Linked DNA regions of Notamacropus eugenii. The protein of the gene in region 2 purifies or fractionates together with the protein of the main gene of each other region. This does not show direct contact. Links are inferred from orthologs where the notes say so. Each region holds a gene or a part of one and is shown on either strand. Other genes may lie near its edges.

Region 1 (8,147 bases), on a different chromosome or scaffold from region 2:
GGTGTGTCCCTCCTCCCCCCTTGAAGGATAATTGTAAAGTAAAGGATGAAAAATTTAAGGATAAATTGAGATCTGGAACACTGGTGGGAGTACTCACATGAATAAAATCATATATTTGTCCAAGCACTGTTACATAGCAGTGCTGCTGCACTTGATAGCAAGTCCCCTAAAGTCAGAGACTACGCCTTATCTAAACGTTTCCCAATATTCTCCAGCTCTTAAGACCACATATTTCAAGCAAGTCACAATGAATGCTTTATGAATTTCTATAATGTTTTAAAGCAACAAAACAAAGTATATTCGTAATAATAGCTAGCATGTATATAGTGTCCTAAGAATTGCAAAGCACTCTACAAATTTCTCTTTTGATACACACAACAGCAATCCTGAAAGGTAGGTGCTATTATTATGCCCATTTTACAGATGATAAAACTCACCTATAAATGAGGTAGACAAAGGATAAATAACCTGCCCAAGGTTACACAGACAATAAAAGTCTGAACCAGATTTTAACAAGTTGTCATTTGTGGTTTTAAGCACAAAAAAGTTAAATCCGGTGAGAAGTCTAAATATTAATGTAGACAGCAATATTTTACATAAGAGCTGCTTGGTTTTCCCTTCCAATGGGGTACAGCTACAAAAATATCTTTTTATCTCAAAGGAGGTCCCACACCCTGACCAGGTCAGAGGCATGAACGACAATAGCATAATAAGCTAAGATTCCAGCTCATTATTCTATTTTACTAAATCAACTACAGACTATATTAAAACATGGCTTATTTCAGAAATAGTAAGACTTACACAAACAAAATAACATCTGACCAATAAATATCTGAGCACCTACCTCAACTGTAAAGAAAGCATTTTGTAAATCTTAAAATGCTGTATAAGTGCAGGCTATTATTACAAGTTCACATTTTTGTTTTTAAAGTAAAAATTTTGCCAAACGTTAGTGTTATTAAAATTCTCACAAGAAGTGAGCTCATTTCTTGAAACTATTTACCATGTGAATTTTTAGCAAGTTCCTATCATTCTACAAAATTATTAGCCTATCTTAAAAACAATGCTTAATGTCGCTACAATCTGACACATAGTTAAGAAAATTAATACAACTTTCATAATATTTTCAAAAACAGCCCCCAAATAACCTATTTTTACAACACTCAGTGAGGACTGCAAAAATCTCTGAGGGAATAGATGATGTTCAAAAGAGTGTAAATTTTCTTCCAGAGACTCAGCATCATTTAACTATTGCCTTTTCAAATTATACATATTCATGACAAAAAAATAGTCCTTTGCAAACTCAGTTTTCTACTGTTAATTTTCATCTCTTAGTATGTTTGGGCTGTTAAGACTACTAAAGATATGAAACTGACAACTTAAATCTATGGTGATCCAGCAGACTAGTCATACAGTACAAAAAACACTTCTTATTTTTGATAAAAAATGGTAAACATTATATTCGGACAGGAAAAAGTTTTTAATTGTAAAAGAAGGTTGAAATTAGGGTTATTATTCCTACCACTCAAATTTGGAACACATACCTGCTATCCTAAAATCATAAAATTTGATCTTAATACTGCACTCTGGACTGGGTCATCAGAAATACAACTTTTTGTCCTGGCTTTATAAATAGAATTTAATTCTATATTTCTGCTCTAAAAATCAGAATGGGCACTGACAAAAAAAGATCAAAAGAATCCTGCTTTACTGTGTTGAGCATTACAGCATATTTTCCTAATTAATTTTAAGAATAATCCACTTAAACTCTTCTAAAGTAGCTTAAAATCAAAATATCGTAAGTCATGTGTTCCAATTATTTCCCTGCACAGATTTTTAACTTAAATCTTTCTGGTTCTGTCACACATTAAGCCTAGTATGATTCAAAGCCTCCATTTAAACTAACAGAGAAGTGTCATAAAAATGTTTAGAATGCCAGGGTTACACTCCTTCTGAAGTTTTCTTCTCTAACCCCAAGTCCCACATCTCTTTAAACTCAGGATCCAAACAGTATCATTTGATGAAGCAATTAAATTAATACTGCTCACTCCATACAGTAGCAGTACCACCCATAAAAACAGATTCTCCTGGGATTGCGAATTTAATTTTCAGGTGATTACTGGAATATTGCAAGCTATCAATACGACGAAAGGAAGCATAAACTTTTCTCCCTTTCTTCCCAATTCAACAAGTACTGTACTGAATGGGTGTCTCAGTAAAAGAACAGTATTTGGGAAGGAAAAAAAGCTGTAATAACTCAAAACTCTGAATCCCCTACCACGAATGGGAGGCACTGCTTCCTGAAATTATTCCTCTTCTCCCAAAACTGCAAAGCCCTTCCCCGCCTCGCTCGCCCACAAGTTTGGGTTGGCACCCTTTCACCCAGGCAGTTGGTCCAGCAGCCCCACTGACCCGCTTCCCACCCGGGGGCCGTGCTGCCCTGCGGGCATCTCCCCAAACTCTGCGCCTTCCCCAAGGGCTCATCCTAAAGGCACCAGGCGCGGGGAGCACGCCCGCAGGGTCCCCCCCAAACGGTCGGTTTCCAGACCAGTCCGGGGGGGCGACCCCTCAGGAAGGACGACCCCGGCCTCCCCCACCCGCCCGGCTCCGGACTCACTGGTTGGTCGGGGGCGCGTTCAGAGGGATGGCCACCTCCTCCTCCTCGTACTCGGGTCCGTCCAGGGAGTCGCCTTCGTCCACGGTCCCCGGGCCCCCGCCTAGGAGGGCGGGCAGCTGCTGCGGCGGCGGCGGCGGCAGAGGCGGGAAGCCCCCCGGGCCGGGGGCGTCGGCGGGCACGGGGGCACCCTTGGAGGGGGCGGCGTCCCCCTGGGGGCCGGCCGCGGCGGCGGGGACCCCTCCCGCCCCAGGCCCGGCTCCCAGAGCCGAGCACAAAGCGGGGCCCCCCAGCCCGGGCGCCGGGCCCGGGCAGGAGGGCACCGGACAGGGCAGGGCCGCAGGGGTCCTGACCCGACACACCGTGGCGCAAGGGCCGGGGTCGGCGGCCGAGGCCGGGCCGCCTCCGCCGCCTCCCGCCCCTGCGGTCGCCGGACCGCCCTCCTCACTCCCGGCCGCCTCGGCCGCCATCATGTTGGAGCCCGCTCGGCCCTGCCCTGCCTGGCCCTGCCCGTCCGGGAGCCCCGGGGGCCACAGGGCCCCGGGTCCTGGCCGCCCCTCCCCGGCGGGCCCCCCCCTCAGCTCCCCGGGCCGCGGAGGAAACAACAACAAAAGGCCGGAGCCCGCCCGCCCTCCGGCCCGAGGAGCCCCTGGGGCTGCAGCCCGGGCGCCCCGGAACGGCCCTGACCGGCTACGGAAAGAGAGGAGGGGAAAAAACACCCGCCCGCGACCCCGGCCCGGCCGAGGCGCGCACACGCCCCCGCGCAGACCGTCCGAAGGCGCGCGCGCACTCGCACTCACACACTCACACACGCACACAAAAGAAAACTTCCCGGCTCGGTAACTAACTAAGGAGCACGGGAAGAAGGGGAAGCGAGCCGGGGCCGCCGCCGCCACCACCGCCACCGCGGCCGCCTCTTCACCGCCCCAGTCCCGGCCACCCCCACCGCAGCAGCCGCCGCCGCCGCTGGCGCTGCTGCCGCTGCCGCCGCGGCTTCATCCTCCACGGGGCCGGAGGAGGAGGGAGGGCCGGGGAGGAGAGGAGGGAGGGAGGGGGTGGGGGCGGGAGACCGCGCGGAGCACAGCCCGAGTCGCGATTCCCGACCTGGAGCTCGCAGTGAGAGGAACTACAGAGAGGAGAAAGGGTGACGGGGAGGGGAGGCCGGAGGGGGAAAGAAAGGGAAGGGGGGAGGAGGGGGAGAAGAAAAAAAAGAAAAGCAGAGGGCCGCTTGTGCGCAGGCGCGCCCTGGGAAAGCTTTGGGCGCGGGGAGAGTCCGGGAGTAGGGCTGATGGAGGAGGAAAAGGAAGGGGCGGGGGAGGAGAGGGAAGGAAGAGGTGGGCGCGCGCGCGTTCGCGGCTCGGCCCCCACTCCTGCCAGCCGGGCGCGTGGCGGGCGGCCACTGAATTGTCCGCCTGGTTCGCGGCGGCGGCGCGCGCGCCTCCAGAGGCATTGTTCAAATGCTCCCGCGGCCCACGAGTCGCTTTGTTCCCAGACTTCCCCTGTGCTCCTCGGCCAGCCCAGCCGCCCGGTCCGGTCCCGGAGCTGGCTGCTGGCTGCTGGCTGGAGGGGGCGGGGACCGGAGAGGATGCGCTCCAGGGGATTCCTGGTTTGGGGATGGGGCGCTCCTAGACTACCCAGCGGGCGTGAAGTGAGCCACACCCAGGGGGTCTCCTGGCGGCCCTCGGAGCGAGCTGTTAAATGGGCTGCCAGACCCTTCCCTCGGGCTCCTAAATACTCTTAATAACCAGAAGCCCAAAAGGAAGAGCTTAGAAGTCCGTCAGTAAATACACATTTATTAGGCACCCACTGTAAGCTAAGCGCTGGTGATGCAGAAAAGTGAAAGGCAGCTCCTGCTGTCGAGGAAGTCACCGTCGAAAGGTGGGAACCATGTACAAATAACTGTACAAATGGGGAAGCCTGCCTTGAATTAAAGAGGATGGGGGAAAGCTGCCCACAGAAGTTTTTAGCTGTAACTTAAAGGAAGTCAGGAGGCGGAAACCGTGCTCTTGGGATAGGATCTGAAAAGATCAAAAAAACATTAAAAAGGTGGAAAGAGCACCCAAGAGAAAACACCCGTTGCCTTTGTGACCTTGGGCAGTAAAATCGCTTAATCTTTTCCTAGCTTCATTGTATCCACACTACCTGACACATTGTATCAGCTTAATAAATGCTTATCGGCTGGTTGACTGACTTAATGCTTTTCTTTCTTAGTCTAGGGTGCTCGGTTTCTTTGTGCCTTTTCTCATCAGGTTAATTAAGACAAGTAACCACGGTGGTCTGATCCAGGGAAGGAAGCAAAATACTTAAAACTAAACTAAAGAACTGATTGTCTTAACCCCTGCCCCAAAGAGTTCTAGGCAGGCACCATTCTATTGAATGTGCCAGGACAGACAATTAGAAGACTGAAAATCGGCAACCTCTGCAAGCTGAAACAGGCCAGAGGAACTAATAGTGAAAGATATCTGTGCATACCACCACCAAAGTTCTCCCATGCCTCATCCTGGCATGGAGAGGGTCTTGAACACTATGCCAGATATCACAAGTTCTAGCAGGTCTTACCACGCTGGAAAGGCTTAGAGTAAGGACCCTATTTGACTGTATGTACTGTGCAAGGACTAGCCTAGCCAATTTTGAGGAAGCTCATCACCTAGTTGGCGTAGGCAAATGAATTTTTCTGCTACAGTCACTAAAGGTACAGGAGGGTTGTGGCATTACTTAGTTGAGGGAAAATTACTTATCCTTAAAGTTTCTTTGCATAACGTTTCTTCCAAATTTTCCAATAAATTCTTGAAAGAAACTTTTAGTCTCTTTATATAGCAAAGGATATTTTTCCATTAGCAGTAAAAGCTAAAAAGAGTAACTCATTGGTAAGAAGGAGTGTGTGCATGGGCAAAATAAGCAGTTGTCTTTTGGTAAGGAGGAGGAATACTTGACCCATCTCCTAGGCTCTGAGAACTAATTGTTAAATTTTCAATGTGAGCAGTCACACTTCAAAAATCATCAAATGCTACACATTGAGTATAATTCATTATTTTGTTAATTTTGTAGAAGAAAATGATAATTATGCAGACTAAATTTAAAAGTGCTTTTTAAAGCACTCCAATTTTTTGAGCCAGTTGTTAAACGTTACCAGAAAGTCTTTATACATCCATCTGAAATTACAACAGCATTTGATTCATTCAAGTGGTTTAAGCTTTACCCTCTACATTCCTTTCTCCCCTTTTTAATGAAAATACCTTTGAGAAAGGTAATATTAAATTCCTAACAGCATAATATGAATTTGTTTTTTAGGTAAATTTCCTTTCTAAATGAAGTAACTGTCAGAAGAATATTGATACCCTGGGGAGAAATGGGGAAAGGACCCAAAGGAGGGAAGGACACAGGAAGGGATGATTGGAGACACTGGAGGAATGGATACTTATTTCATTAGTTTGCCTACAGTACACTTTGTACAAAATAAATCTGGAGCAACTTGACCATGTACCACTGGGGTTGGGGGGGTGGGGCGGGGAAGGAGAGAGAAGGAGAGGAGTGGAGAGGATTAAGGGTGGAGCTATTGAAATTTATTTAGGAATTCATTGAGGGATCTTGACATTCAAACCAGCCAGAATTGACTGGAGAAAAAGATCTGAAAAAAGGAAAGTTTCGCCCAGTAGTATCACAGTAAGGGAGAGAAAGGAGCATATTAGGAAGTACTGAGCTGCTACTTGTAGCTGTGGACCACCTTGGGATACAGGAATTGAGAACAGTGATCAGAGAGTTCCCATCTCTATTACACTTTGAAGGATAAGGAAATACTTCTCACAGCACACACATGTCCCACCTCCCCCAACTTCATAGGGTAGAGTCAGATTTTTTTCCTCCTTGGAGTTCTAGCACTTATAAACAAGGAACCAGAATCTAACACTGCTGCTTTATATTTTTCTATAAATGTTTTCAGATACATTACTACACTGTAAGTAGAAAAGGTTGTCTTTTTTTTTTTATCTTCTACATAATGCCTAGCACACTACTACTGAAGTAATGTGAAACTCAACTAGAAGTGCATACCTCTCATTTGTACATAAAGATCCCTGCAGGCCATGTGTTGACAGTTTAAAATGTAATATTAATCTATATTTTATTGTATTTTGTTTATTTTTAAAATATTTCCCAATTACATTTTAATCTGGTTCTGCTGCTCTCAGGAGTGCTGTGAGCTATGTGTTTTGACACTTTTTCTAGTAGTGACTTCCAGTCCAGATTTAAATTCCTAATATGTATTTGTCTCTTAACAACTGTCTTTTTTCACAGTCTCCTTTATGAGAAACACTGAACAGAACAGTTTATATTTAACCCCTCAAAAATATTTTTGAAAGCTTTACTACATAGATTGTTTCAACAGAAAGGCTTCTGATAACTGCATTTCTTGTTCTGAAAAACATTGCAAAATACATTTTTTTCCTTTGCATGATATTTTTAAATGTATGCTGATGTTTAAGTGAGGCTCCTTCTTCGAAGGATGAGAAGAAATGTCATAAGATAGTTTTTCTTCATCTTTTACTTCTCTTCCAATACGCTTCATGTTCTGAATATTTGGGTTTTTTCTATGATTTTTCACGTGTGTGAAAATATTTTCCTTAGTTGTGTTTATTTCCTTTGTTTCTTGGCTTTTGTTGTTAATTTCCCCTTTTTCTTCTTTTGTCTGTTTTTTTGTTTTTTTTTTACTCAGAAGCTTCTGAATCACTTGGCTTAGATGTAAGTGATGCTGACAGGAGAGTAGAAAACCAGCCGCAAGTCAACAAAGTGACAATATGCAACTGTGTGTCAGTATCTAGTTAGAGAGAGGTGTCCTGGGGTATAGTAAGAGTGGGTGTTAAGTCTGTTCTTTTATAACATCTGTTAAAACAATCTGTTAATGAAATTCAGAGACAATATTACATAGGGAGGTGCTAAGAAATAAAACAAACCATCCAGAGGAAATTGTAGGAGAGAAATTGCAAAATGAGATTAAAATGTTTAAGTGAATAATTTGCCATATTATATACATACACCAGACGTTGTTTAATGAAAAGGAAAAAATCGAATATTATATCAATGAAAAGAATTAGCTACAAAAGAGTCTATAATATGAGTTATTCTCAGTGCTCAGTGGCATCTTGAAAAATGGGTTGATTTCATCCTGGAATAAAACATGTATTGATACTATTGAGTATCAAGTTAAAGTTGTAATTTCATAGGCAATGCTATAAGTACAATTTATATCATTCCTAGAAAGTTAATAATACATGACACATATCATCAGGTAACTTTCTTGAAGACACACAGGTAGCAAGTACTGTAGCCAGTATTTGACTGTATTTGACAAGTATTTGTAGCCAGTTCTCAGACTCCAAATCCAGTGAGTGTTCTTTCCACTAAATCATTCTTAAGGAGATGGGTAGGGTTTAGAGTATTATATGATGAACATGAAGGAGAAGAAGAGCCAGTTGTAAGAGATTTGCATCAGTGTCTGAAGAACACAATCCTAGCTCTAGTGTGTAGTCTTATACAG
Region 2 (8,091 bases):
GATAAATGCTTGCTGACTTAACCTCGTAAAATATCACACGTGGTGATCCAGACCTGGGAGCTGCAAGACCAGCTGGTAACAGGTCATCTATGAGATTCTGGGTCTGAGATTCCAGAAATCCAGATCCACGTGCCCCCTCTTCACTCTCAAATACTAGGCTTCTACAAGGCACCCCCACCCCATCTTCACATTCCAGACCAGGTCACTCTACCATCACCATAGCAAACCCCACTAAAACCTTGTGTTCCCCTGCAATAGGAAGCTCTATACTTCCTCAACATGCCCCCTGCTATCCTCAGACTCTGAGTGACTGCATCCAACATCCTTAAAATATATGCTGCCTATCCCTTCTCCTTCATTCTCGCCGCCATCTCAAACCTTGAGGCTCCTGGCTCCATCCCAACTCTCCCCAAGTTCGGTGCCTCTCTCCTCCCCCAAACATCAGTCACCCTGCTGCCAGAAGAACATAGGCTTCAGACTCACACAAACACATCAGTCTAGTGCTGGGCATCCCTCAGAGCAATAGAAATAAGGCCTTGATCAAGGGCCTGAGAAGGGGGTACCCATTGATTTAGAGGGTCTGACTGACCACCTAACATGCCTAGAGTAGAGAAGTAGCATCTCAACCCCTTCAATTCTCTAACTCTCTGTCTTAGGAGAGATTCCTCCTAAGGTTCGTGTTTGGACCTCAACAGTCACAACTCTGTCTACCATGATATAATCTATGCCTCCCCCTACCCTCAGCCCAGATCGAGCACAAGGGAAAAAGAGGCCTCAGCCCTTCTGTAGTCTGCCACAGCCAAAGTTCTCCCTCTTTAGGCCCAGAATCCCCAACTCACTTCAGACACTCCTTCCTAATTAACTGCCCATTCTGAGATTCTTTCTCCCACCAGGTACAACCTCCCCTTGGAAGTTCTTTGGGCATCTCCTTTGAGTATCACTTCTTGGCTCCCATCTGGAAGGAGGGAGATACAGTTCTAAGAAAAGTCCTGGATATCATTCCAACTACCACCCTACAATGAAGGAGCCAATTACATGAGTGTAGACCGAAGCCAACCCCCTTGGACTGACAAGGAGTATGCTTCCTTAGAGTCTACCAGACTAGAAGGGCTGGATTGATCAGAATGCACCCTAATTAAGGGAGGTACCCCACTCTCCTAGCCAGGGAGCCTTCCTTATAAACTGGGCCTAACTCCCAGAAATTCCCCCCTGCCCCTCTCAGTGGGCCTGACCCAGGCTAGGCTGACATTCAGTGTTAGGACAAAAGGTGCAGCAGGAAGGAGGGAGCTAGGGGAGGCCTTCTCTTTTCTCCCTCCCAGGCCTTCCCAAACACAGCTTCCTTCCCTTTGGGATCGGGAAGAGGAGGGAGGTGGGGAAGGCAGGCGCCAACAAGCTGGCCTGCCGGCCTCCCTGCCCCCCCCCCCCCACTCTAACAGTAACAATGTAACAACCTAAGCGATACAATGTGGCTGTTTCTTTCCTCTTCTGGCCCACAGCTGAGAACCGCCGGGAGACAAAGCTACCCCTCTTCTTGCCTGGGGGGAACGTCCGCGGTAATCCTTATCCCCCAACCCCGGGATTCATTTCCCCCGCTCCTCCCCCCCCCCCCCCAAACACTCTGGTTATCCTGAAGGAGAGAAGCACACACATCTATGCCCTGGGCCTATAGTCAAGGGGGTGGGAAGGTGTCTTTCAGAGCACCTGGGCCCAGTTTTCCCTGGATGAATCGTCATAGCAGACAGTACCTGATCCATTGCCTGCGAGACGAATAAAAATCGCTTGGGTAAGGGTGAAGGCCCTTAGCCCCTGCCCCCTCCCCAAAGCAACCAAATTCTGAGAAGCAGCAAACGACGGCGGGAGAGAGCCAGAAACGCACAAAGTTTGCATGAATATCTCCACCCCCAGCCCTGGACAAACAGCTGGACGGAACGATCCGAGTTCTCCTCCAACCAGAGAAGGTACGCAAAGGGGCCAGGGCCGCAAACACCTACCCGCTCCTTCGATTTTATCTGCCCCACGACTCCACGTGATCTGCCGGGTCTCCAGCTTGACCTGGAAGGTTTTCCTCTCTGGTCGCTGGGATTTCTTGGAGTAGAACAAGGTCATGACGGTGCCCACTTCCAAACTCCTGCAGAGGTGCAGAGCCTCGGCCTCCGACGGGGCGCAGGACCCGCAGCCGTTGGCGAAGGGGGCCCCCACCCCTGCCATCATTCCGGGGATCTCCTGCTCTCCTCCAGACCCGAGTTTGTCTCAAACTGCAGGCCGGGGAGCCCCGGAGGGCGCTCAGGAGGCAGCGTCTGGACGAGCGCTGCGTCTGCCAGCAACAATCCAGCAATCCGCGCCGCGGCAGCGACTCCTGCGGGGGCGGGGAGGAGGAGGAGGAGGAAGGGGCCGAGTTAACCAAGGAGGCGCCTGGAGACTGATGCCCCCTCCCCCAGAGCCCCGCCCGCGCAGACCCCGCCTCCCCGGCCCGAACAAAGACCCCCCCCCCTTCCCGCCCCCAGCAGGCGGGGCTGTTCGCCCCCCACCCAGGAGGCGTCCTTCCCTCCCAGCCTCCCGAGGGTAGTCCTACGGACCACCTTCCAACAGCCCGCACTGTCCGAGTCTGGCACCCTAGCCACTTGTCAGTCTTCTGATCTTGCAAGCCTCTGCATCGATTCGAGGCCGATAAGATGTCCCGAAAACTCAGGAAGTAATGGCTGAAAAAGAGCAGAGCAGCGTCTCACACTCTGTCACACACACACTCTCTCTCTCTCTCACACACACACCCCGAAACACAAACCCAGTCGCACACCCTGCAATAGTCCTTCGTACACCCTAAAATACAGCCACACACACCCCCCACCCCTCACCCCCCACACGCAGAAACAGCCACGTACAAATAATGGAAGTCACAGAGTGTAACAGAACCACACAAACAGTGGCACACAAGTCCCTGGGACAGTCTTACACAAACAGTCGCACAACTACCCAGACCCACCCTACAGCCTGAGTCAGTTTCACATCCCGGCCACAGCTGCTACCTGGGCCTGCCTTTCCCTCTGTCTTCCCTCTCTCTCTTCCCTCTGCTTGAGTGGGGTGGGGAGGAAGGGGCTGATGGGGAGTGAGGGTCTTTTGCCCCTAAATCAACACGTGCATTGGCTCAAGAAGTGGGGGAGAACGGAGCCGAGCTGCAGGGCGGTTCCCAATCTGCCTCCCTTGCTTCCCGGCCTCTCCCTGTCTGCCAGTCTTTCCCTGTCTCCTCTCTCTTTCTCTCTCTCCCCCCCCTCCCCCTCTCTCTGTCTCTCTCTCTCTCTCTCTCTCTCTCTCTCTCTCTCTCTCTCTCGGTCTCTGGGGCAGGAGCCCGGCAGGGTCTACTAAGTGCCCCCGGGCTCTCGGGCCCCCGCTGCCCCCGGCCTCCCCCGCCCCACATCCGGTGGTGTTCGTTGCTCTAGCTGCAAAGGGAGAGGGGAGCGGGGAGAGGGGCCGGGCGGGCGAATAGGAACGAAGACGCTCCCCCTTCCCGGCGCTCAGAAAGACAAAGCGGCCGGGGTGGGGGGGTGGGGGGAACCCAGCCCCTTAAAGGGACACCAGGCTTAACTCCGGGAGGGAGGGGGAATTCCCCTAGACAACGCCCCCTCCCTCGCTCACCTGAGCGCGTTTAATTCAGCTCTGCAAAATGGAAAGGGAGGAGAACCGTGTCGAGTAGCTGGTCGCAGAGCACAGATACGACCCTCTCTCTCTTTTTCTTAGGGGGGTAAGAGGGTGGAGTAAAGGACGGAAAAGGGGCTTGGGAAGGCGGGGCCACCTGTTGATTGGCCAGGGGGGTAACTGATTGACAAGCTCTCCACCTCCACCACCCCCTTTTCCCTTTGAGTGTTGGAGGCGGCCCTGGCTGAGGTCACTCCCTGATTGTCCAGATTAGGTTTTGCCTACCTTCTCCTCCCGCCCCTTGGGGTTTGCGGATTGATTGATTAATTCCCGCCCGGTACCCGGCTCAAGGCCTGCCTTCGCATTTTCCCCACTATGGTGGTCGTCAGGGACTGGATCTGTGATTTCAGTGAAATAGGGAAGGCGCCTTCTCAGTTTCTTAATCTTTAGATGTGTGCCGTGGACTCCTTTGACAGTCTAGTGACGCTTATGAATTCCTCAAAATATTTTATTTAAAAATTCATAATTATAGGAAATTTTATTTAGGGGTCAGTTAAAATCAAAGATTATATTTTTTTTTCCATCCATGTTCACAGTCCTCCTAAAATCTATCCATGGAGTCCAACCCCATGTTAAGAAACCTGTCCAAGACACTGGTTCAGGGTCAAATTGGCAATATGTATCTGTCAGAACTTGACTCATAGCTAGCTCTCTATCCTCCAGACCGCTGTGGTCTCTCCTGGTCATAGATTTGGACCAAAAATGTCAAAGGTGGGGTTCAATCATTTTGTTGTTCAGTCATTTTTCAGTTGTTCAATCCTTTGTGACCCCACTTGATTTTTGTTTTATTTTCATTTTGGCAGAGATACTGGAATGGTTTGCCATTTCTTTTCCAGCTCATTTTACAAATGAGGAAACTGAGGCGAACAGGGTGAAGTGACTTGGTCACACAGCTGTTTGTATGTTCGTTCTTCGTTGCTGAAGAAGACCATGGTCACACAGCTAGCTAGTAACTGACCCCAGATCTGAACTCCAGAAGGTGAGTCTTCCCGACTCCACGGCCAGCGCTCTATCCACTTCACCACCTAGCTTCCTGGTTTAATCCAACTCCAGGTCAATGGGAGAGTACTACATTGTGCCTAGGGCGCTCCCACAGTCAATATGGAAATTCCATCCAAAAGTCAATGTGTAGAACACTTCCAAGTGAAGAATTCACCCCCTAGGCTGAGGTGAAGATTTTCTACATTCCTAAATTCATTTAACAAACATTTATTTGTTTATGGTCAACTATTCACCTGCTGCCGGCTTGCAGGGCTAGGCCCCTGGGAAAACAAAGACAAAAACTCTTGCTTTCTAGGAACAAGTCTTCTGCTGGACAAAAATCAGTAGAAAGTAATTTGAGGGTAAGGGCTTTAGCACCTGGAAGGGAATCAGAAGAGGCCTCAAGTAAGAAATGGCACTTTAACTGAACCCTGAAGGAAGTTAGAGATTTCCAAGAGGCTGGATAAAGTCATGCATTCCAGACTTAAGGGATAGTCTAGGCAAAGGCCTGGAGGGACGATTAATCAATCAATAAACATTTATTAAACATCAACTATGTGCCAGGTACTGTGCTAAGAGCTGGGGGATACAAAAGGAGACAAAAGACAGTTCCTTCCTCCAAGAAACTTACAATTTAATGGCGGAGACATCATGCAAACAAATATATACAAAGCTATATACAGGATAATAGGAAATAATTAACAGAAGCAAGGCACTGGAATTAGGAGCCACTGGGGAAGGATTCCAGTAAAAGTGGGATTCTAGTTGATATTTAAAGGAAGGCAGGGAGGTCAGTAGTCAGCAGAAGAGGGAAAGTATGGAGTACTTTCAGAGAAAATGGCTGTAACTGAGAGATGGAGGATCTTGTTCATGGAAAGGAGGCCAGTGTACCTGGATCCAAGAGGGTAGAGAAGTAAGGTGTAAAACGACTGGAAAGGCAGGAGGGAGCTAGGTTAGGAAGCGATTTGAATGCTAAATGGCTCGTTTTGTATTTACTCCTTGAGGCAATAGGGAGCCATTGGAATTTATTGGCGGGGGAGGGGTGGAGGGCTCTGAGGCAGAGAGCTAGGGGTTTGTGTGTGACAGGACTGGACCCGTGCTTTAGGAAAATCACTTTAGTGGCTGAATGGAGGATGGAATGGAGTGAAGAGACACTCACCCAAGACAGGCAAACCCACTAGCAGGCTATTGCAATAGTCCAGGTGTGGCGTGACAAAGGTCTGCACTAGAGTGGCAGCAGTCAGAGGAGAGAAAGGGACTTAATTAAGAGATATTGCAAAGGTGAAATCAATAGGACTTGGCAACCACTTAGATATAGGGAGGGGAATGGGTAAGAGATAGTGAAGAAAACCAGGATGACTCCTAAGCTGCAATTCAGAAGGACTGGGAGGATAATGTTATCCTGGAAGGGGAAGAGGGGGAGAGATAATAAATTCTGTTTTGGACATGTCAAGTTTAAGACATCTATGGGATATCCAGTCTGAGATGTCTGAAAGACGGTTGGAGATGCAATATTGGAGATCAGCAAAGACTGAGTGAGGCAAGATAGGTAGATTGTGAGAGTCATCAGAATAGAGATGGTAATTCAAACCTTGGGAGCTGATGATATCAAGTGAAGAAATATAGAAAAGAGCCCAGGACAGAACCCTGAGGGCCACCTATGGTCAGAGGGTGGGATCTGGAGGAGGAACCAGCTAAGGAGAGAGATGATCAGTCAGAGAAGTAGGAAGACCAGGAGAGAGTGGAGTGCTGAAAATCTAGAGAAAAGAAAGTATCAAGGAGGAGAAAGTGATCAATAACAGTGTCTAAGACTGAGGAGGGCTCAAGGAGAAAGACTGAGGTGGAATGTGAGATCTGGGGAACACCAAGTAGACAGTCCTGATTACTCCTTTTCCATATACTTTACTGAATCATGATCCAAGCCCTGCTCCTCACTGTGAGGACCACAATATAGATGTCTGTCTCTGTTTATGTATGTATGTATGCATGCATGCATGTGTGTATGTATGCGTACATGTGTGTATATTCTCTGTTACATAGTCCAAATCTAGAGGTTCTTAGATAACTCTGGTCTTTCAGAGAATTTCAGTTTTTATATATATATATATATAAAATTGATAAGGGTCCAACTATAAAATGAACTCTTCTGCCTTTTAAATTATAAGGCAGATACTTTTAAAAATGGGGAAATAATTTCATTTCTTTACCATTATCAATATAATTTATGTATAAAATCCAATTAATCCTTAATTAATAAAGTCATAATCCAATTTTGAGAACTTATCACCAAAACATACTCAAAGCCTGATTTTCCATGATAAATAAATTTGGAAGACAATCATATGCATCTGTATATAGTTCTTAGAGAAAAAAAAGCCTAATCCTGTTGCTTTGGGATTTCTGATTACAAGTGTTTTCCTCACTCTAACATTAATTAAACTTCTGTTTAGTCCCTGACACCTTCCTCTGGCTTGCTCTGTCTGGCTCTGGCCATTCTCAGGTTAGAGGCCAGTTCCAGTCCAGGTTCACAGGGCCAGATGAAATAATACTTGCAAAGCACTTAGCTCAGTGGAACATACTTAGTGACTGCTTATTCCCTCCCTAAACTGCTCCCTTCTCTTCCATCCACCCATACAACAGCCCAAGTGATGTTCCTAAAGTACCGGTCTGACTAGTCACTCCCCTGCTCCAAAAGCTCCAGTAACTCTTTATTGCATCTAGGCTAAAGTCCAAACTTCTCTGGCACACGAACCTGGCTGGAACCTACCTTTACAGACATACATTATTCCCTTTCCCATACTTTTTGGTCAGCCCAAACTGATCCTTTTTTCTTTGCTCACACATGAGATTCCACATCCTTTCTGTGACTTTTGGCAAAGTGGATAGAGCACTGGCTGTGAAGTCAGGAGGACCTGAGTTCAACTCAGGCCTCGATTACTAGATGTGTAACTCTGAGCAAGTCACTTAACCTCAATTGCGTTCACACCAAAAATAAATAAATAAATAAAAATACAGGTTATCGTTACCCATGATTGTAATGGGCCACTCTTGTCTTCCAAAATCCTTAGCTTCCTTCAAAGCTCAGGTTAAGCCACCTGCTATCACTTATTGATCCCTGGTCCAACCCCAGCTGTTAGTGCCTCCCTCTATTTTCATTTACTTGGCATATATTTTGCATTTGTACGTACACACAGAATGCTTTCCGCAATAGAACTTAGTCCTTAAGGGCAGAGGCCATTTTGGTTTTGTCCTCATATTCCTGGTGCCTCAAGCAGATCCAGACATTTAGTAAGTGTTTAATAAATGCTTGCGGATTGGTTGAGTAATATACAACAAACCTGGAAAGGTTGTCCAGAGCAGAGACTTTCAATCACATTCAATTCACTTCAGTTTGATAACCTTTCAATAAAGGCGCTGTTA

The links.
Region 1: the proteins of PLCG1 (region 2) and RASA1 purify together in Homo sapiens (affinity purification with western blotting; 3 studies listed by BioGRID and IntAct, with this or other methods). This does not show direct contact. The link is inferred for Notamacropus eugenii from reciprocal best matches to the Homo sapiens genes PLCG1 and RASA1.

What each region holds. Positions count from the first base shown.
Region 1 is NC_092875.1:454,108,333-454,116,479, forward strand, and holds the start of RASA1 (ras GTPase-activating protein 1), read right to left. Parts: upstream 3,585-8,147; 5' UTR 3,088-3,584; coding exon 2,618-3,087; intron 1-2,617. UniProt on the Homo sapiens protein: Inhibitory regulator of the Ras-cyclic AMP pathway. Stimulates the GTPase of normal but not oncogenic Ras p21; this stimulation may be further increased in the presence of NCK1.
Region 2 is NC_092872.1:423,909,620-423,917,710, forward strand, and holds the start of PLCG1 (1-phosphatidylinositol 4,5-bisphosphate phosphodiesterase gamma-1), read right to left. Parts: upstream 3,744-8,091; 5' UTR 3,631-3,743; intron 3,553-3,630; exon of another isoform or gene 3,024-3,552; intron 2,700-3,023; 5' UTR 2,580-2,699; exon of another isoform or gene 2,577-2,579; intron 2,357-2,576; 5' UTR 2,212-2,356; coding exon 1,992-2,211; intron 1-1,991. UniProt on the Homo sapiens protein: Mediates the production of the second messenger molecules diacylglycerol (DAG) and inositol 1,4,5-trisphosphate (IP3). Plays an important role in the regulation of intracellular signaling cascades.